Linked DNA regions of Tamandua tetradactyla. The protein of the gene in region 1 purifies or fractionates together with the protein of each later gene. This does not show direct contact. Links are inferred from orthologs where the notes say so. Each region holds a gene or a part of one and is shown on either strand. Other genes may lie near its edges.

Region 1 (6,824 bases):
GAGGCCAGATGTACCCCCACCCCAAAAATGAACTGTAATGGCCCCTCCTGGGGATGTTCACATTCCTTTATGCTCTTGTTGCAGGGAAGGCTGGGGCTGTACAAAGCCGCCAAAGGGATGCTCCCTTTTCCAGCCAGAGAAGGTGGATCCTTGATAAAGGAGACCAGTAGAGCCTGCTACTTAACCACAGAGTCAAAAGTAAGGTGCTTGGCTTCCCTTCTGCTGTCAACTGGCCCCCACTGGCATGTTCTCTGAGCTGCAACCCTCATCCCAAAGCAGGGAGTCCAGCCCTGAAGCCCAGGTCATGAGGGGAGCCTGCAAGCCTCAAAGCAACCGCAGCAGAAGCCAGAATCTCCCTGGGGGAAGATGAGTAGGCAAGAACTGACCTGGAGTGAGATCAGAACAAACCGCCTACTCCAGCTCACTCCTCTTCAAGCATGGAAGCCACAGAGCAATGCGTACCACACAAAAACCTTCCTTTTTAGAGCCACTTGAAATGCCTGGCTCCTCTGTGACCAGGGCAACCATGGCTCCAGCAGCCTCCACCACCACTTCATCTCTGAGGATCTGCTCACTGGGCTCTGAGCTCTGTCTCAAATCCCAACTACTGCCGCCATTTCATCAAACCTTTTTTGAGCACCTATTTCTGGAGCCAGGGCCAGATGTAAAGTTCAGTGAGACTGATTTCTGCATTCTAGAAACTTAGAGGGAAGCTGTATAGAGAGACTTATTATAGCAGCTCTAGCTCACTTTGTTAAGGGAGACTAGAGAGCAGAGCTCTGGAGTCAGGTGGACCTGGCTTTAAGCCCCATCTTTGCTAGCTATTTCACAAGCAAGATTACTTCTCTAGTCTGTTTCCTTTTTGGAACACAAGGACATTAAAAGCTAGTAACTGTACCCATTTCACAGGATTTATGTGAGGACTAAATGAGAGAATCTATGTCAGTGCTTGGCATACACAGCAAGGACTTGTTAATGTTTCCCATCTCAAGGGGTTCTCTGGGCCCTGAAAGAGCTATAACCTCTAAGCATTTGACTACAAGTACCTAGGTTCTTGCCATCCTGATACGCCTTCTAAAATAAGGGAAAGGCACCCTTATGCTCTGGCTGGGCTGTCAGGCAAAGATGACCCTCTTTCCTAACATAAAAGCATTCTTGCTGGGAAGAGTGGGTGAATGGAAAGGGAGCCATGCCTCTGTCTTCTGCAGCTACCCAGAGGAGGATGAAGGTGGTCCTTCCAGGCCCTGACTGGACCCTTCCCTTTCTGACCAGCTCCTTAACTCTTTCCTCCCAGGAAAGGTCAAAGAAACAGCCGATATACCAGTACCACGTGGTGCCAAGGACTGGGGGAAGCTCACACTGCTAGCGTTGCACTCCATTCGGCTCCTCTTGTACCAGTGGGTTACTGTAACCATGGAGACCAGCAAGTTCCTCCATATCACAGGAGAGCCAGCCTGCCAGCAGCCCAAGGCCCTGGGGAATGGGGGTGGAGGGGGTAGGGAGAAGTCAGCCTGCAGCACAAAGGTTTGGCTCCCTTTACAGAAGATTGTGGGAAGTGGAGTTGAGGTGCCTGGGCTTCCCTCTAACCCCCTTTTTTTTTTTTGCCTAACAGCTTATGTTTTAGCACATTCTCAGGACTCTGGGCTTCTACACCCAGCTTACACTGCTGGCTCCCTCCAGCACACTTCCGGGAAGCTGCATATGGTATGGTAGTGAAGGGTGTCATCCTGGGGTCAAGTCCCAGCTCTACCTCTCTGGCTGCCTTGGAGGGAATGGAATGGAATTGTGGATGAAGAGTTCCATCAACCACATGCTTTCTTTAAGTAATTCAGGTAAGTAAATCTTCTATCCCTTGTTTTACCTAAATCCTTGTGTTCAAAGAACTATCTAGACACTTCTTAACTGGGAGTAACTGCTCCCTTTTCTGGACTCTCAAAGCACTTTATCTACACTGGCTTATCTTTTTTACTCTGTGTCTCCATGTCTTTCCTCTCTCAAGCCCTGAGAGGCCAGAGATGGTAGCCTGCTTGCTTTGTGTGCCCCCAATGCCTACCAGTGCACATGTTACTTACATATGGAATAAAAGAGGTACAACTCTGTGAACCCTAAAGCCCCCCAGGACAGAGTGGCCTTCATTTTCTAAGGAGAAGAAGGTCTGAGGAAGCAAGACCAAAACCTCTTGCCATGAGACCTGCTTCCCCTTTCCAGACATTCATCACCCTTGAAATTGGTTGGATACCATCTCTCCTTCCCACCAGCCTACACTGCAAAAGAGGGACACAGGCCCATCTTATTCATGGCCCAGAACAATGTCTAGCACAGCAGACGTATTCAAAATGTACTGAGAGAACATATATGTAAGAGTGAATAAATAGGAAAATGTGGTGGGGCATCTTCATGAAAATCTCTGTGATCCCCCAAATCATAGCACTCTGCAGACAACCAGCAGAGCAGTAGGCCACAAGATTCCCTGGATGACACCGATGGAAATCTAATTCCACTAGCGAGCTTTCTCAGGTGGGAAAAGGCTCAGGTGCTCTCTCCTGACACAAAGCATCAGGTAAAGGGGTCACCAAGGTGAAGTGCAGAGGAACTCAGAACACAAAGCTTAGCCAAGGACCAGCAGGGCAGACTCCCTGGCCACCCTCCATTAAGCCCAAGCCCTCCTTTCATCTCAGAGGGGGAAACCTCTCCTCTGAACTTCCTGTTGCCTGTGACAACTACCAGCCACTCCCACTTAAGACAATTCTTCTCTCTGCCTCTTTACGTTCAATTTTTCCACTGATATGCTAAAAAAACATTGTATCTTACTACAACAATGCAATGCAACTTTAACACTATTGATTTGGGGAAGTGACAGTGACTTGCAGCAGAGCCTAACTATAGGCTCTGTTTTGGTATCTTCTGTTTGAACCAATACACTGATCATAAGGCCCTGTCAACCCCAGGGTGCCACCTACCAAAAGAAAATCACCCATACACATACACACCTGCCTCCTGTCTTGATGCATAAACCAGCATTCCCCACCCTACCCCCCACCACTCCCCAAACAGCCTCCTGTTACAGAAAAGCAAAGGAACTAAAAACGGCAGCTGGGGAGCTCAGTTGACTCACCCAGCATAATCATCTCCTCCCAGAATCTCCCATCTTCTCCTGGGTTTTTTGCCAACACAAAGTAAAAAAGAAGCATGAGATCATTTTTTTTTTAAACAAATAAAACAAACAAACAAAAAACTACCTTGCTATTTATGCAACAGCCTTTCTACCTGGATGTAGATTTATTTCTTTGTCTCTGCCCTTTTGCAATGTGATTTCTTTAAAATGTCTTTATGCTGCAGAATAGATCCAGTGCTGGGCGGGAAACAGGCCTTCTGGGTCCCATCTGGTTCCAGCCCTACCACTGGAAGGTGCTGAACAAGACACTGCTTCTCTTTCCATTTCATCTTTATCTGGAAATGGAAAACATACTGCTTTCTTACTCCTCCAGTTTCAAAAGGGGAGTTGAAGGAAGAGGAAATGTCAGAAAAAAACACTGGGGCAAAGTCTGCTTGCCTTAGAAGTAACCATGGCTAGAGGTCAAAGCTCAAGCAGAAGAAGTAACAAAAATCACCTAAGGCTGTCACTGCCACCCTGGCCTCAGAACTATTCCCCACAGGGCCATGCTGTGATGCAGCTGCTCCAGTTAAGTGACCATTAAAAATCCAACTGGCTGCTGTTTCTAAAAGCAAAACCCCCTGCTGGGCCGTTCCTGTTCATAGGCTGAGATGTTATCTTTCTCATACAGCAGATCATTAAGAACCCAAGCAGGTGAACAGACATCTGAGCCGTAGGGGTGGGCTGGGGGTGGGGGTGGAGTGCCCCATTTCTGGTGCTACCTAAGTACGGGTCAGTGAGCTGATATTGAGAATCACACAACTGCCCCGCAGAGCAATCAGAGAGAATCAGCATAGCTTTGTGGCAAACTTCAGCTGGGGGTGTGGGGAGTGGGGTGGGGTGTCAGGGAAGTGTTTTTTTTATTTTATTTTATTTTATTTAATGCTCATTCAGCATCCAAAAGGACAACTTATTTCTGTGATAGATGGTGCTATGTCTGCAAAGTAATGAGAACACTTCCACAAGGGCACAAGCAAATCTGCTGCAGCATATTAGTCAAGAAATCCCCAACTTACCAACAGTTCCTTCCTGTGTTAAGTAGGAACTATTTTTCCATAAAGACATGCCACAAACGGTGGTTGTGTTCTCAAAACCAGCCCATGAGGGCCCACCATTGGATCAAAAGTAAAATATTAACTGTACTTCAGCTCTAAAGCATAGTTCAGAACAGGAAAAGGACTTCAGAGTTCCAACGTGGGATCCAGGAACTATCTTTGCTCTCTATACATCATGGGCAGCAGAAACTGGGCTTGAAACAAGAGCTGGGGGTGGTGGTGGTGGAGATGATAGGGACTTAAAAACCACGGTGGTAAAGAATCGGGCATTTGGAGGTGATTGGAGCATAAGGTTGGATAAGGAGATACTGACCCAGACAGAGACCAGGAATAAGGCTGGAGGAAAGGAATGCTGAAAGGTACTGCCTTACAGGAGAAGGGATGGATGGGTTAAGAAGACCAGGTAGGAAAGCTTGCAGCTAGAGAAGAGAAACGGGATCCTAAGACAGTACACTGGCACATCAGGTCAAACACTCTGTCTCTCCTACAAGGCTATGAGGCAACTAAAGCAAGGAATGGGCCTCATTCTACCTCGCTGGGCTTGCCACCCCTGCTGCTGCAACCCTGGGCTGAGGGCAGAGACTGCTGGATTCTAAGTGGCCATGACCTGGGCAGGTGCCCTGACTAGCTTGCCAGATAAATGGAAAAGGTTTCTTCTGTCAAAAGTGGCGGAAAATACTAAAGAGTGCAAGCCTCTCAGCGAGACCAAATATATGTCAGCTTGTGACTTTAGGCCTAGGGTGCTCCCAAAGCCAAACACCGTGGTTCACTTGCTGGCAGCAATGACAGTTCCACTCCAGGGTGCCCTAGCTACTTGTGTATTTGGCCTAGGAGCAGAGTACAGTAAACCAGATGATAGCCATTTACCATTACAAGTACCTTCTTAAAAAGTATATTTCATAATTAATTCATCTTTTCAGAGTCCTAGAAGAGAGCCTGTTTGCACGATTTCTAAGAGAATGAAAAGGCCCAGAGAACAGCCAGCTTAGCTATGGCTAAGGCAGCAAAGACCTGGGTTCACGTTTCACAGCTGAGTGTTGGAGGCTCTGTGCTTTCTAACCACTGTGACAGGGGTCTGGGGGTGGGCTCTTTGATACAGATTAGCTCATGTGCTGGTGGAAGCCCTGAGGAACTAGAACCACCAGTTAACAGGTGGTATTGGGGAGAAAGGGGGGCGGGGTTGAGCACTGTTGGATGTACTATTACAAAGACTGCAGACAAGAGAATAATCGTTATTTTGAAGGAGGCAAGCAACCAAATCCATAGCTCTCCAGCTCCAAATGCACAGAAAGGGCAGAATACAAAAGGAATACAGGACCCTCCCTCCCTCCAACAAATTCTAAAGGGCAGCTGTAACTACCAACAGGCATAGAAGCTTAAATAAAGTCCTGAAGACTGAGAAGAAACCCACCTAGGACACCTCTAGTGAAAGAATTTAGCTGGGCTGTACAAGGTCACTGATATCCATCCTATCCTGTCTATGTTGACTACCAAGGACAAAGAACTTTCCAGGCACGAAGTGGTCTCTACCAAGCCTTGAAACAAAAGGTGTAAGATCAGACATGCCAAATATCCAACACCATCCAAACACATAGAATAGTGCCTGGTATATTCTAAATGCAAATGGAACTCACTATTGTTATAATTCCATATAACAACTTGTGGTGGAACTTGTGCTCACCATAAATGCTCTGCATCTCCAGATGAGACGGAACTTTTCAAACTGATCTAGGAAAGCTCTGCAGTTGAAAGCCAAGTTCTGGTCGTCTACTCTCAAGGCTCAGACTTGAACTTGGGTAGAGCCAGCTCAATCGTTCTCTCTTTTCCATAAAACGCCCCTGCCACTATAGTCTCCCCTGATAAAAAGCACTTTAAACATCTACATCCCAACGTAGGAAAATCCAGAGGATATACCACAGCTCTTGAGATCCAAATGTCAGCAATTTTGCCAAGACCTTCTAGATATAGGACCATGGAGTCTTTGCAAACCAATAGTCACGATGGGAAATGTGACTAGTGATTAAGAAACACACACACACAGTCTGGTGGGAGACCCTAATTCTTATGTTATGTACTCTCTAAAGCTAAGCTCTGCCTCTTCTGCTATGATGAGGAAAACCTGTGTGTGTGGTGGGAGGAGTGGGGCAGTGGGGGTGAAAATTTAGCTGTAGTTCACGCTCCTGAGTCTCTCTGGCTTGGAGACTTGGCAGCCTTGTGTGGAGCCAGGCTCCCATCACCAGCTGTCCTTCACACAATATAACAGGCTCACTATTTGAGAAGATGGGATTTTTGGTACTGGGTTTAGTATCCCATGAACTAGTGTCTGTCTCAGGGCAGTTTCCTGTAACAGCTGCATGTCCTGCAGACAGGATTTCAGATATAAGAGAAAGATAAATGAGATACAAAAATTAGGAATTCACGGTAATAAAGGCAGTGCAAGAAAGAATGAAAAGTGATTATCCATCTTCTTCTCAGAGCTGAAAGTCCTAACTCTGCCCCACACTCCCCAGGAGAGGCTGACCTCCCCTAGATGGTCCTCGCAAAGGAACCAGACACACTCCCGTCTACCCTCACGGGCAGGCCCCGGCTTCCTCCTGGTATCTGCACCTCTTTGT
Region 2 (7,359 bases), on another chromosome or scaffold:
TCAGACCTCTGCACCATCTGTTTCTTTATCATTACTCTTCCTAGTCATCACTTATCTTTCGATGAACCCATTATGTGGTCTGAAGGGACAGAGATGTCCCACACTCATGTGAATAATAGGTTTACAAGTTTTCAGCTGGTATTCTATTTGTTGGGAGTAGAAGAATTTCTAGACCCCCTGACTACTCTTGGTTTGACAAAATGACACAATAAATGAGATTACCATCAATGTCTTTTAGTTAGATGCTTCAGAAACTATACATTAGCTCCACTTTATTTGTCAACACTTAAGTGATCCATGCGAAGTCATTAAAAAAAAAAGACTATAAATTTATTTATTTACTGACTTTTTATTAGAGAAGTTGCAGGTTTACCGACACTGCTAATGTGAAGGCCAGAAGCTCTTCAGGTTACCTCAATTACTTCCTACACTGGAAATTTAGAAAACACATGAGAGTAGAGAAGGAATGGAGCACTGCATTGCTAGATCAAGAGCGAAGATAGATACACACCTCTTCCGGAGCGCTGTTCCCAACTCACCAACCAAATCACGATGGGGTCCCACGTCCTGAGAGTTCCAGTTCCAAGACACACCACTTGGCCAGTTTGTGAAGCCTTCGTGATGCTTTGCAGTCAGGACTACATACCTGTGGACATCAGAATCATATGAGCAAAAAAGCAGGCAGGGGACTGTGTGTATGAATTTGCCCAGGGTTCCGGAGGCTTTAAAAGTGGTTGGAAGAACTACAGGAAATACACACTGGGGGATGCCGCAGTCACAACTCCCCTGGAGGAGGGGGGGTGTTCGTTCCAGCAATGGAGGCAAATTAGAGTTAGCCACTGCCCTTCATTTGCAGCCTAGAAGGCCTAGAGGGAAAAAAATGTACCTAAGCACTTTCATTCTTTAACCCTTCAATATTATTAGCCTTTTATTTTAACCCTTTGCGTGAAGATAATAGAAAATTAAGTTTTTTTTTTTTAACCAAGATTATATGAATTGCCTCTCATTTACAGAGATGACAAAGGATCACAAGTGCTAGGGAGAAACAGCACATGTTGAAATCACAACCAAAATCATTTATTTGCTTTTATGGCAGAAAAACAGGTATGTCTCCATGTGATAACTTACTCACTGACTGGTGTGGGGAACTACAGAAACTATCATGCGACTGATGTGGCCTGTCTGAGAAACAGCTTTTATACAAAAGGCTGAATCCATTATCACAAATTTAAGACACTTCATTTTGGGACTTGTCATCTTTGTGCTGTAGAGTTTTCCTACAAAAAGCCAGATAGTATTTTAGGCTTTCTGGGCTGCAGTCACCTCTGTGGCATATTCTTTGTTTTTTACATCCCTTTAAAAATGTAAAAACCATTCTTAATTCCTGGGCCCTCTGGCATTGTTTGCAGGCTTCCAGTGTAAGGGAAAGAACCCTCATCTTGGAGTCACTGGACCTGAAGTTTAGGATCTCAGGTCCCTTCCTCTCTCTGGGACAGTCACCTCATTCATAAAATAAGGGGTCTAGACAGTGCATGTCCCCCAGACTTTATTTTTTCATTTTGTAAATTACAGCTCTTAAAGATCCCTTGAAGCTAGAGAACACTGCCTCTAGTTATTCAAGTCTTATATTCCCATACATTTTATGGAAACACGAAATGCTGGTTATAATTTCTCGTTAGTGTAAGTCACACCAAAACTAGAATCCCAAAGATGACTGAGGAATAAAGTGTGGATGGAAGACTGCTCTGTGTTCTAAACCAGGAAGTGGGGAAACCCGTCTGCCTCCCTCCAAGCACTTCTCCAACCCACTTGCCTCCCTGAAGCCAAACCAACCCTTCAAGCAGCTGAGTAAGCACTCCTTGGTGTCCACTGCCGCAAGGCTTACTTCTCCTGGACTACCCTGCCTTGCCTTCAACAACCTGTTCTTTCAACAACGGAGGTCTTTGCCCCCCTCCACCCCACGGCTGTAGCTGGCCTTTCAGTTCTTTGAAACCACCACCCGCAGGCTCCAACAGTTCTCAAAACAATTCAAACATTTCTTGGGCACTTTCTATGGGCAAGGCACTGGGAACAGCAGACGAACGAAAATCTACTGTGCCCCGAATACACTGCACCCCACAACTCCCTTGCCTCCCTTTTCATCTTAGAGATATTAGAACTGAACGAACTATGACAACGAAGGGGGCTGCAGGGGGGATGTGAAGCGACGTGTTAAAGCTGAGTTCACAGTTGAGCTGGGACCTGAATCCACGCCACGGGTTCAAAATCCTGGAATCCTGTCTGGTGGGCCCGGAAAGGACATCAGGTGCCACCCACGTCAGAGGACTGCGTAGCGACTGAGGGCTTTCCAGCTCACCTGCTTCCCGAAACCTTTATTTTCTAATCCCCAACCAGTCGAAACTTCTAGCTTCCCAACACGCTGTGCCACAATCAATCCTGCGTCCTTCAGGAGGCAAACACAGGAGCTTGGGGACAGCTGCGAGCCAGCTGCGTGACCTCGCCTCCGGCCCCCCCTCCTGGCGCCCGGGCGGCTCCAGCCGGGGCAGGGGCGCTCCGCCCACCCGCGCGTCCACACTCACTTGGCGCCCGCGGCCTGGAAAAGGTCAGCCCACTCCTCAGCGTGGAAGAAGCCCGCCGTGAACTGCGGCCCGAAGTCGGCGTAGCTGAAGCCGGCCGGGTAGTTGTCGCTCATGAACTGCTGGTACTGGGGCCACCCCTCGCCCTTCCAGTGCCACCAGAACCACTCGCTACCCCAGGCCGGCACCGAGAACACGCCCCAGTGAACAAACACCCCAAACTTGGCCTCGTCGAACCAGCCCGGCAGCGGCCGGGAGTCCAGACTCGGCCAGTCCGGGGTGTAGCGTCGCTGAGTCCCGCGCCGGCGCGGAGCCCGGAGCTCGGCCTCGGCGTCCCCCGGGACCGGCGGCACCAACAGCGCCTGCAGCAGCAGCAGCGCGGCGTGCCCCGCCCGCGTCCTCATCTCCGGGTCCGCAGGGCTGCGCCTTCCGCCCTCCCCTTAACGCGTAGGTGTGGGGCGCGCGGTCTCCGCCCACTAGCCAATGATTGGCTCGAAAGGAAGGCGGGTCAACTCTCACGGCTTCGCTAGTCTCTTCCCCTCCGCCTCGGTCGGCTCTGTAGCGCCCCCTGGCGCTCCAAGGGGAAAGGCAAAAGGAGGCGTTGGGAGCGCCGGGCTGACGGAGGAATGAGGATTTATAAAGGAATCCACTGCAAAGTTAGATCGTGGAGAAGGGGAGGTCCGGGTGTGTACAGACAACTGAGAACGGCTGAAGTCAGATCACAGGTGGGCAGTTGGGAGCCATAGAGAACTTTGGAGCTGTAGTGTGCACAGGCTAAGGATGAAACCGCGGATACTGGATGGAAGGGCATTGTAACAGCCCTGGCAGGAATGAAGAGGCGCAGGATAATGGAAGGAAGGCCTATGAGTGGAGACGCGGGAGAAAAGTAGCCATTGAAAGAGAAAGGGCAGGGCAGGCCATGGTGGCTCAGCAGGTAAGAATACTTACCTGCCATGCCCGAGGACCCGGGTTCGATTCCCAGTGCCTGCCCATGTTAAAAAAAAAAAAAAGAGGAAGGGCAGGTGTGACTATTTCTAATCTCTTAAACTCCCTTTGGGTAAGTGACTTCAAAGACCTTAGCGTCGAATTGAAAAGACAAAACCTATGCTTAGGTCTCCATGGAGGAATATTTTTCAGAGAACCAGCGCCAGAAAATCATAGTCGGGTCAGGCGTGGGAAAAGACAAAACCTATGCTTAGGTCTCCATGGAGGAATATTTTTCAGAGAACCAGCGCCAGAAAATCATAGTCGGGTCAGGCGTGGGACCAGGACCCAGTTCTCGGGCTGCAGATTCTATGCCTGTCTCCACTCTGCTTCTGTCCTGCACCCAGGGTTCCGGGTGGGATTAGACTCCCTGTTGATAGAACCACATGCTTCCTCATTCTGGGAATGATAAGGAAACGCAATGGCTGTTGCTGAATAAACTGTTGCTTTCTTTATCTTCTGTATTTTGAACCAGTGATTTTTCCTCTGTAAGATTGTTGAAATATTGCAGTAGAGCACTCAGAACTAGAAGTTAGGAAACTTGGATTTCTTGTCCTGGACACCATGTCACTGGGTCTCCGTGGGCAAGTTTCATTCATTGTCTGAGCCTGTTTTCCATCCAAGCAGTGAGGGCAGTTCTTGATGATACCCTGGGCCCTTCCCCTCCCCCTGCTTGCTCTCCTCCCCTCCATAAACTCTGCTTCTCTACTTAAAGCAGAAATAGAGCATGGCAGAAGAGGAAGGTAGAAAGCATGAAAGAGACAGCACTTAATTACATGATTTTTAAAATCTAAATTTATTCACTCAACAAATATTTACTGAGTACCAATTTGTGCCAGGCACTTGGACATTTTCTTTGCTAAAATGACAGAAGAAATATATGAAGATGCAATATCAACACTGTATGAACAGGCAAATTGACCTTTAAAAAATTGTGGCATTTCTTTGCTCTACAAAAAGATAGGTTAAAATAAAATTTGATTTTCCAAAATGTAGTTCATGGTCAGCTTTTCAGAAAAAGTTCATTTCTACAAACATTGGCAGGTCCTTAAGGAATCTTAAGAACCGCTCCTTGCTGTGAAAGCACTGGGGATCCAGAGGAGAACACAGAGCTCATCTTCTCATGAGGAAAGCCAAAATAGAGACTGTCGGTTAACACAGTCCTTGATATAGGTTTAATAGAGGGGCAGCCTTTGTTTCTGGGGGCATAAAGTGAAGCACATTGAGAAACAATGATGAGTCAGTTGGCAGTGACTTGAAGTTACAGAAAACTGATATTATTCCTCAGGAGCAATATTCAAACAGAATTTAACTGAACTAGGCCAACAGGTGAATGGATAAGTCAAACAGATGGCTTCAAAGTCAAACAGATCTGGGTTGGAAACTCCAGCTTTGGTACCTATGAGTAACCTTGAGCAAGTGAGTTTACTTTTTGATATTTCTTCATCCATAAAATGAAGATACCAAGACCCTCTTCATGAGATTATTGTGAGAACCAAGTAAGATGAAGCAAGTAAAAGCATCAGCCTGGTGCCTGGCATATGGTAAAGGCTCAATTAAAGCCAAGAGTGACCAGAGTACATAGTAGGTCTAGCCTACCTAAAGTTGCATGCCCCAAGTAATCCCTATCATGTGACCTGGTTGATCTCCTTCATTGTACCATCTATAATTATCTTCTTCATTTAGGTTTGCCTCTGTTTTAGTTCGTAAGCTGCCAGAATGCAATATACCAGAAATGGAATAACTTTTATAAAGGGAATTTAATAAATTGTAAGTTTACAGTTCTAAGCCTATAAAGATGTCCACACTAAGGCATCCAGGGAAACATATTAATTCAAGGAAGCTTACTGGGTCTGGAAAAGCTCTGTCAGCTGGGAAGTCATGTGGCTGGCATCTGCTGGCTCTGTGCTCCTGGGCTCCGTTGCTTTCACCCTCTGTTCCTGTAGGGGTTCCTCACTTTGCTTCTCTGGGGCTGACTTTCATCTCTTGACTTCCCTTAGCTCTCTTTATATTCTAACTTGCTTAACATCTCATAGTGACATCTTCTGGGCTCCAAGCATCTCCAAACATGTGTATCTCTGTTCTTTAAGTGTCGGCATCTGTGTCAGTTCTGCTCTCTCCAAAATGTTTCCTCTTTTAAAGGACTTCAGTAAACTAATCAAGACCCCATCTGGCATGGGTGGAGTCACATCTCCATCTAATCAAAAGGCCACACCCACAGTTGGGCATACCACATCTCCAAGGAAATTATCTAATAAAAATTTCCACCCTACAATATTGAATCAGTATTACAAGAAATGGCTGCCTGCTACAAGATTGAATCAGGATTAAAACATGGATTTTCTAGGTACATAATACTTTCAAACCTGCACAACCTCCTTACTATTTCTCTCCCCCACTAGAATGTAGAATATTAGCTCCTAGAGACAGGGGCAAATCTCATTCATGGCTGGACATGCACAAGCTAGGACAGAGCCTGGCACATATTTTTAAAATAGATGGCTGTGTGAATGAATAGTGGACCTCATCTTGTAAGTATTAAATGAGCACACGTTTACTGAATATCTTTCCTTCCATTCAATCTGTGGTCCCAAACAATTGCATTGGAATTCCTCTGCAATTTTTCATCAGTAACAGTTAAGCCCCTCTAGTAGGAACTCAGCCTCCCTCATATGTGAAGTATAGATACATCCAAAGCATGAGGCTGTATTCTTGCTGCATCTGGGATGGGATAATGGACCGTGGGATGTCAGCCCAATGCCTGGTATATAGTAAGGGAATATTCCTCTCCTCCTACTTGTTCCGCATATTACACAGTCCATGAAGGAGGCAAAGAAGGTTGAATTCAGAGGAGACTGGGAACAATCCTGGGGCTTTTAAATTCTTTGTGAAGGTGAGAAGGTGTCACTGCCTGCTCCAGTGACCACCAAGCAGGACTCCACAGGGCCAATTACAATCTCTAAAGACACTGTGTCCCAAGTGGTCCCAGCCTCCCCTATGTTCCCCAGGGACCAGTGGCTATAAGTGGGGATTAGCAAGGTGTCAGGGGGGACCCTTGCCCTAATAATAGCAAGGTGCCTTGGGAAGGAGGCTTGACGGTTTCTTATGAAGGAGGTGGATCAACAGTCCTTAATGATCAGGGAGACTGGAAGGTTGGTCCCAAGGCATCTGCTTTCAGAGGCCCCAATTCAAGAAGGCCTCATAATTAAGCAGGAACAAGGGACTGGCTAGGCCATCTCATCTGATACCTGAAGTTTCCAGGAGGACAATCCATTCTTTCCCCAGGTTTCCTCTGGGTCTCTCACTGACAAGTCCAAAGGCTCCCTTTTGCTCCTGTGGTCTCTGGAGGATGAAGGCACTAAGCCATCTGAGTGGGGAAGGTTTTCCTGACCTGACATGGATTGAGCTGTCCCAGGCCCTCTCGTGCCGCCAACTTTACCACCCCTTACAGGGCCTGGCCACCCAAGAGACCAAGTGCAGATAGGGACTACCAAGTTATCCTCCAGAGGTCAGTCCCAACACCCATCAGCCAAAAGGGGTAAGTGTCCGGGCCCCAGACCTGCTTCGAGTAAGATGAGAGGGTCAAGATGGCTGTCTCCTCCAGGGAGTGAAATCAGGTCTGACTCTGATTGCCTGAAAATGGCAAAGAGGCCTCATCAGATGTAGAGACTTATGGATTCTGGCCATTGAGTGATTTTCACATCAGCCTCTGTCTCGGAGATCGAAGACTTCGGGGCCTCTTCTTTCCCCTCATGCCCAAGGCCTGGCAGGTGCTTTTTCCAGCGGGCCAGGCAGCGGC
Region 3 (7,928 bases), on another chromosome or scaffold:
CCTGAAGCAGCAAAGCCTGAGAAAAGCAGCCTTGCTGGAAGTCAGGGTGCAGCCTGATGCAGTGAAAAGAGCAAAGGCTCTGGAGGCAGGAAAATAAAAGCTGCTAAACTATACCAGCTGTACAACCTTGGATAAATCATTTAACCCTTCTGGAGTCTCGGCATCCATGTCTGCGAAATTGGGGCCATAAAACATATTACAACAATAGACTATCCTCTGGTGTTCTGGACTCAACCGAAATATCAAACACAGAGGAATCGAATAATGTGACAAGACCAAGCAAATAACCAGTCAACCAGGACTGCACGCTGAAATGGTATCAGCCCAACTATTCCAAGATCCAAGATGTAAAGAGAGGCTTTTTTTTTTCTTTAAAGAAACTCAATTTTCTGTTGTCCAGCAGTCATGATTTGGAGAACTATCATTCAATCAGAAACACCATGGGTCCAGGTTTATCCTGGGACCTGGGGTTGCAAAAATGAACAAGTTTATCTTCCTAGCCCTCAGGGAGTACTCATTTGTGGAGGACATGAAACGTGCTGGCCAAAAAGCAAATGTATCTATTTGAAACCTCTCTCCAAGTCCCAACCTGCTCTTCATTCTCACCGCTCTGTCTCCCTGTTACCTCTTTTCAAGAAATAAAAGAACTACTGGGCTCAGGTGACTGGTGCAGTTCCTGCTAAGATCAAGAGTTAGGACAACCCATGTGCCTGGTTCAGTTTGAACTGCAGGCTCAGCCACCACTCACCCCAAACACCACCACCCCCTTGGCTCCACCAGCCCAAAGTTGGGCCTGAGCCCGGCAGATTCATCATCTGCTGAAAACACAGCTCAAAAAGCATAACCAAGGGATGGGGAAGCAGAACTCCGTTGGATTGGGAAGACATTCATTAAAATCTTAATAGGCACATGAATAAACGCATACCACCAGAGTTATTTACTAACCTGAGGATTGCAATAAATTAAAATAGAGTTGTACTCAATACAATCCCCTTATTTTTTCTCCAGACTCCCAATGGTCTTGTTTGCCGAGAAGATTTGAACCCTCTGTGCTGCTGCCCCCGCCCTGCTTCCCCGAGAAAAGATGGAGTCGCCCTCATGCTAAAAGGACCAAGAAGCCATCACCAGCAGGCCCTGCAGGGAAACAGAGATTTCAGAGAATCCCTCGAAAGTGTGCTTGTGGAGGGACTCAGCCTCTTCTGACACAAGAAAACCTGGTCCGCGGACACTTAACAAAGGACCTGCCAGCAAAACCCTGCTGTCCCTCAGCAAGAGGCCAAGTCAAGAGGCTTCCGCACTTGAGCGGTATCACCGAAAACTGGCCCTCTCTGCCTGCGCTGTCAAGGGTCCCAGATGGAGACTCCTAGGGTCCCTGGCTCTATCTCTGCTTGCAGGGGAGGCGCCCGCCCCTTCCAGGCCATCCAAATGAACGCGCATTTCCGGGGCTACACGGCCTTCGCTAAGGGGTGATCCCACCCCTCCCACAGGCGAGGGTGGCACGCATGGAGTCACCGGACGTAAAGTGCTGCATCCAAAATGTTATTACAGTCGGCCCTTCTCCCAAGCGACGAGAGGGGCAAAGGAGTCAGCGCCCAGAAGCGAGAGCTGGAGGCTCAAGAAAAGCCAAATGGCTTGACGACCGCCTTTCAGAGTTGCGGGTGAAGTTCCCCACTCCCGGCGCGCGCGGGAGAAGGAGGGGAGGAAGAGGGCGAGAGGGAAAGGCGCTCATGCGCCCCCAGAAGGCGGTGCTCGCGGGTCCTTGCCGCAGCCGGCCCCTCGCGGGACGCGGGAAGCGGGGCGCGCACCTCGGGGCCACGTGCCGCGGGACGCGCCGCTCACCTTGAGATAATCGTTCTCCGAGCGCAGCTCCTCTATCTCCCGCAGCAGCTCCTCCTCGTCCGCTGCCCGCAACTGCCGAGGCGGCTCGCCCGGGCGGGGATCCTTGGGGGTCCCGCCGCCTCCGTGGCCCCTCCCGGGGTCCGCTCGTTCTGACACCGCGCGACCCCCACCATCGTCCGCCGCACCGGGCACCGGAGACCCGGCCGAGACCCCGCCAGGACTGCTGGCGCCCCCGGAGGCGGTGCTGGGTGCAGGGGGCGCGGCGAGGCGCGCGGGGGGCTCCGGGCTGCTGGACGGCGCCCCCCGGGCTGCCGGGATCGACGCGGGGGCTCCTCGCGCGGGTTCGCGGTCGCTGGAGCCGGTGCCGGACTCGGCGTCGCTGCTGGCGGCGGGGAGTAGGCGCTGCTCGTCCGACAGGGCTTCAGAGGGGCAGTCGGAGAGGTCGGAGCTGCTGTCCGTGTGGCTGAGGCGCGAGCCGGGAGCCGGGGAGCCAGCGGCGCGGGCCGCAGGGGAAGCGACGGGGCCCAGGGGGCCGGCGACGCGGGCGGGGGGCGCCCCGGGACCGCGCTTGGCTTGGCGGCCCTTGGCGGCGGCGGCGGGCGGCGGTTCGGCTCCAGGCGGCGGTGGCGGCTTTCCCGCCCGGGCCAGCAGCTCGGCGCGCGTCGCCTTCCTGGGACCCGGGGCGGCCCTGGCGCCGCCCGCCACCTTGGTCCCGGCACCCGCCGGCGGCTTGTCCTTCGTACCCGGGACGCCGCCGCCGCGCCGAGAAAGACGGCCGGGAGCGGCCAGCAGGGGTCCGGGCGAGGACGGCGCCTTGGCCGCGAGATTGGGCGAGCGCGGGGGGCCGGGGGCCGGGGCCCGGCCCGGGGAGGGGGCGGCCGGGGCCGAGCCCGGCGCCGCGGGCCGCGCGTGCAGGTCCCTGAGGAAGGGTCTGGCGGGCGAAGGCGCGCGGTGCAGCCGTCTCCTCTCGGCCAGCGGGTGCAGGTGGTGGTGGCGGTGGTGCTGGCCGGGCGGCGGTGGCTTCGCGTCCGCGGCGCCGCCGCCCGCGGGGCCGTTCAGCGTCTCCATGGCCGGGGCACGGGCGGCGGGCTGCAGCTCCCGCGGCAGATGCTCCTGGCGGCGGCGACAGTGGCGGCGACCGGCAGCTTCCCCGAGTGCTCTCTCATCCCTCCGCCTCCCCCGCCCTCCCCGCCCGCACCCCGGCCCGAAGGGTCCCCGCGGGGCTCGCGCACGCCTGCGCCGCCCGCTCGCCCCTTGCTCTTGCGCTCGCGGGCCGCCCCTAGCCGGCTCCGGTCAGCGAAGCTCCAGCGCCCTCGCCTCGCCGGCGCCCGGCCGCGCGCCTCCCCGGGCAGCCGCGCTGGCCTCGGCCTCACAGGCCCCCATTCATCCCCGCAGCGCCCGCTCCCCGCCCACTGCCGGGCCGGGCCTCGCTCCCCCGCAGCGCCCGCCGCCCCAGCCCGCGCCCTCCCCCGGCTCCCCCCCGAGAGGACTGCGAGCGCGCGCCCCTGCGCCCGACGCCCTGTGCGCATGTCCCGGCCCCCGCCAGCCGTCCCGGCGCCCGCGCTCGCCTCGCGCTGCCAGAGCACCCGGCGCGGCCAGGCCGGGGAGGGCGGGGCCTGGCTCCGGGGCGAGGGCGTGTCCCCCCGGCCCCCTCCCAACGCTGGGATCCGCCCCGATTTCTGAGGCGGGAGACACAGTGCCCGAAGCTGGGGGATGGGGGGGCAGCCGGCGGTGGCGGCGTCGCGGAGCCCCTCTATGATGTGTGTGGGCGGGGAAGGGCGGGGTGGCGCGCCCGCCTGGCCTCCGCTGACCACCACCTCCAGCCCTCACGGCCCCCCCATCCGAGCCCCATCCTTCAGGGCCCCCCCACTCCCCGCCCCCGCCGTCCCCACGCTCCTCTAAGGACAGCTGGTACTCCAAACCGCTTTCGGGTCCAAACGGGCGCGGCGCTCCACTCTTGGCACGCCCAGTGGCCCGGGGAGCCCAGGGAAGGAGGCTGTGCAGGAACGGCTCGCCAAGCCCGGGGTCAGAAAGGGCGCTCCCGGCCACGCCCCAGCGCGGCCCGACGGTCCCCAGGCCTTGTTTTAATGAGTCCTCATAACGACCCCAAATTGGATGACCCTCCTCGCGGGGGAGGACGAAGGTGAGGGAGAGTGACGACGCCTGCTGGGGTCCCTCAGCCAGTCGGTGGCCGAGTCGGGATTCGAACCCCGGTCGGTGAGATTCTCCACCCCGTGCTCTCTGGGCTCGGGGACCCAGGCCACCGAGATTTGAGCACCTGTCCTGGTCACTCGACCTTCTCGAGCCTCGGTTCACTCAGAAGCCTGTATAATCGGAAGACACGCCCTGCCTCCCCCCACGCCTCCCCCCGCCCAGGTGTTTGTGAGGATTAAATGAGCAAAATAGGAGAAAACACTTTTTAAACTGTAAAGGGCTTTGCAAGCGTTACTGAAGTCAGTGTCTGTTGCAGGGGTTGGAAGTTGGAAAACAGTGAAAGAACTAGGACCCAAGTCTGTCCCCTAGTGCTGGCGGGGAGGGAGGCGTAGGAGCAGACAGGAATTACAGGTGTTGGGATGGACATTTAACCCAGCCGGGGAGATGGTGGGAGGCTTCTTCTGAAGCCGATGTTTGAGACGCACCTGGAAGGATGGCGAGCCTCATGGGTGAGGGACAAGGACATGCCAGCAGCCTGGGCGGGGCCAAATATCTGCTGCAGAATTTGGATGTTACCCTAGAGGCTGAGGGAGCCTTTGGAGGGTTCTGAGTAGGAGGGGATTCATGGTTTGCTTGGAAAGACCACGCTGGCAGCTGGGCAGCAGGGAGGCTGGTGGCTGTGAGGATAGGGCAGGTGAGGGCTGATGAATAGCTCTATCCAGGCAGTGGGGGGAAGTATGGAGAAAGGGGGACAGGTTTATGAATTTAAAAAGAGAACAGACTCCACAGTTTGTGATCATAATCACAAATTAACCTGCTGTACCCACCTTTTTCAAAAAATACAGTGTCAACTGATTTTTTAAAAATCCTGCTAGTCAGGACGGTGCCCTCAGAAAACATCCTGCCTGCTTTCTGCTCAGATTCCCTGGAGGAGAAGCCCTGGCCATGCCCCCTCTGCCCAGGTCTGAGGGGGATGGAACCCTCACTGGCTGTTTCAGATTTTGCCAGTTGTTGGTCTGGGTGCTCCTCTGAATGCGGGCAGCACACACAAAAAAGAATCTCTACCAAATCAGCTTTGATGCACTATCTAAGAAGACCGCAGTTATATCTCAATAAATATTAGGAGAAAGGGGGAAAACGATGGACTTTGTCTTGTTGGCACGGATGAGAGTAGCTGCAGAAATTTCTGGCAATGAGGCATGTTAGTTTGAGAGGCTTGTGCCACCCTTGCCCCGTGGTCATCCAGGCCATCAGCCCCCTCAGTCCTAAGGGCCCTTCTGACGCCTTCTTGTGACTGCCAGTCAACCAGCAGCTGGCAACGGTCACATCCCAGGGTGCAACTAACGTGAGCCCGGTGACCAGGACCTTTGCCCACAGCTTCCTCCAGAGACCCAGAAGTTCCTAACACTCTCACATTTCTGAGAGTTACTTCCAATACCTTTGCAAAGCTTTCTTGCCGCTTCATACCATATAGAATCCTGCAAAAGACCGCCTCAGGACTACTTCATCAAAGAGTCCAGAGAAAGCGAAAAACATTAGCTTATGTGACCATACGATTTGCAGCAAGCTTACTTTGCCCCCACATAAGTCAAACAAATTCATATTCCTTATTGTTAACCTGGCAATTGTTTCTACTAACTCTTAGCCAGAAGATGTTCAAGAAGGCTTTCATCGTTTTCCAATATTCAGTGAGATGCAAGTATAAAGCAATATCTGCTTGCGTAATAGATGTTTTTTAAAAGTTGCATGTGATTGTAAAAATCTTTTTTTTTTTTGTAAATCAAATGCTTCTATAGACATTAGGGAGTTCACTATTTAGAGGAGCCTCGAAGTGCTTTATTCTGTAAAACAAAATCCAAGTGTGACTGTGTTGGTTTGATCTGTTTGCCCAGACACAGTCCTTCCCTTTCTCCTACCCTGCTCTTTGTGGGAGGAACAGTCAATCCCTTAAACTGAGATGTCTTGGAAGATGCCACCTGGTGGTTAGTGTTAGAATAGCACCCCACCCTCCACAGAAGCTGGAAGTGGGGTGAAGGTCCTGTGTCATGTAAAATAGCTTCCAGGTGATTTAATGAGCTGGATTCCATTAAAGGGAGAGTATTCCTTTAGAAAGGCTTATGGCATGTTTGCTAAATTTGAAATTAAAAGTCCAGAGCTCTTTCCTCTCACAATGTAGCTGCTAAAAATTTTTTAATTATTTTAAATAATTAATTCCAAGCTTGTTGCATAGGGAAATTTAAGTTGTTAAATAAGCTAAATAAGTAAAATGAATCAAAGTTAGTTTATATTTATCCTTTTTCAAACCTCACTCTACGTAATTGACACATTTTACCTCTCCGTTCCCAGTTTCTTTTTTTTTTTTTCAAAAATGAAGGGAAATTGATGGTATGCTGTCACCCCATAATTTAGAACACTGCGCATTTCAACATGTCAATTCTGAACTGTACGGCAAGTCTTGTGTGTGCTTTTATTATAATTCAGCATTGCTTATTTCTCTCCCTACAAAGTTACTACCCTTCAAAGCAAACATGGTGACTTGAAGTAGAAAATGAAATAAACACTTCTTGCTGACGCTGTCTTTCCTGCCCAGCTTTAATGCTCCTCTTTACATACAAAATATACAAAATAAGGGCAAGTTTACGTGGAAAACAAAAATAAAACAATGGGTGCATAGAAGGTTCCGTAGCAGATAATACATACGAAGTAAGCAACCTATTCAATTAAGGAGATAGGACACTATATAAAATCATCATAAAAACACATTTTAGTTATTATTACTGTGCAGTAATTACTGCCAGGCAAATTTTACCAATGAAGACATATAACAATGTGAACTCCAGGCCTGAACACAACGTTTTGTTCAGTTACCTTGAATAGAATAGCTCCAGTCTTCCTGGGTGTTAGAGACCTTGCCTATAAAATTAGGGAGTTGAACTTAAATGAGCTTTAATAAACTTTCCAGCTTTATGAATCTGGGAGTTAAGGAGAACTTGTACGTGCTATTTTAATTATCAACATGGGATTATCCATAGTAAATGGTAGGCCACTTCTGTTCATTCTCAGACAATATGTAGTCAAAGAGTGTAAACTAATTTTAACAGAAGAAAATCATAATTAAGTTTAACATGATGGAATAAATAACAAATATTACTAAAATGTATTCTTGATTACCTGTTGGGACAGAATACTAAGAGTTAACCATGTTTTTAAGTGGTTCTTGATGTTAGGGGCTTAGAATAAGTAACTTTCGTCATTGGCTCCTTAAATACTGCTCACAGAATTCGAGTGTAGGATGAGGTACAAAAAGCATTTGCCAGTCCTCTCATTTAACAGGCCCCATCTGTGGGAAATCTCTCCAATAATTAGGGTGATCATAAAATTTATCATGTAGGCCAGAACACACTTGAAAGAAAGGCACACTATTAATTACCTTTGAGTGACAGGCATATCTGAATATGTGAAAACACAATTTTTGTGCATTAGCAGGTATTGCTCCTTGAGAATGATGGCCTAAACACTGGAGAAAAAAAAAGTTGGCATATTTAAGGGCTATAAATCTCTGAGCAGCTAAACTTGTTTAATAGTTGTCCAGGTCAAAGGGAAATGCTAAATAGAAAGACTTTTAGCTCCATGAATTTCTTTTGTCTTCCAGTGAAGCTAGGATCTTATCTTTTGTATCAACCTAATAGAATTTTTTTTTTTTTTTTTTTTTTAAAGGAAAGACAGAGAGAAGGAAGGAAGGATAGAAGGAAGGGAAACATCTTTAAACATTTTCTTGTTTTATTGTATTCTGTTTCTCCGTTTTTGTTACATGGGCTGGGGCCGGGAATCGAACCGAGGTCCTCCGGCATAGCAGGCAAGCACTTTGCCCGCTGAGCCACCGCGGCCCGCCCCTAATAGAATTTTTTTATCTAGAACATGGTGTTCAGTGATTT

What was found.
Region 2: the proteins of MARK2 (region 1) and FUCA1 purify together in Homo sapiens (affinity purification with mass spectrometry; 3 studies listed by BioGRID and IntAct, counting the BioPlex papers as one, with this or other methods). This does not show direct contact. The link is inferred for Tamandua tetradactyla from reciprocal best matches to the Homo sapiens genes MARK2 and FUCA1.
Region 3: the proteins of MARK2 (region 1) and MTCL1 purify together in Homo sapiens (affinity purification with mass spectrometry; 5 studies listed by BioGRID and IntAct, with this or other methods). This does not show direct contact. The link is inferred for Tamandua tetradactyla from reciprocal best matches to the Homo sapiens genes MARK2 and MTCL1.

What each region holds. Positions count from the first base shown.
Region 1 is NC_135335.1:10,713,330-10,720,153, forward strand, and holds the start of MARK2 (serine/threonine-protein kinase MARK2), read right to left. Parts: upstream 3,012-6,824; 5' UTR 1,416-3,011; coding exon 1,359-1,415; intron 1,340-1,358; exon of another isoform or gene 1-1,339. UniProt on the Homo sapiens protein: Serine/threonine-protein kinase. Involved in cell polarity and microtubule dynamics regulation. Phosphorylates CRTC2/TORC2, DCX, HDAC7, KIF13B, MAP2, MAP4 and RAB11FIP2. Phosphorylates the microtubule-associated protein MAPT/TAU.
Region 2 is NC_135328.1:202,363,016-202,370,374, reverse strand, and holds the start of FUCA1 (tissue alpha-L-fucosidase), read right to left. Parts: upstream 3,007-7,359; 5' UTR 2,981-3,006; coding exon 2,580-2,980; intron 647-2,579; coding exon 512-646; intron 1-511. Other genes in the region: CNR2 (cannabinoid receptor 2), read right to left, coding at 7,217-7,359. UniProt on the Homo sapiens protein: Alpha-L-fucosidase is responsible for hydrolyzing the alpha-1,6-linked fucose joined to the reducing-end N-acetylglucosamine of the carbohydrate moieties of glycoproteins.
Region 3 is NC_135344.1:72,112,020-72,119,947, reverse strand, and holds the start of MTCL1 (microtubule cross-linking factor 1), read right to left. Parts: upstream 3,007-7,928; 5' UTR 2,908-3,006; coding exon 1,840-2,907; intron 1,643-1,839; exon of another isoform or gene 1-1,642. UniProt on the Homo sapiens protein: Microtubule-associated factor involved in the late phase of epithelial polarization and microtubule dynamics regulation.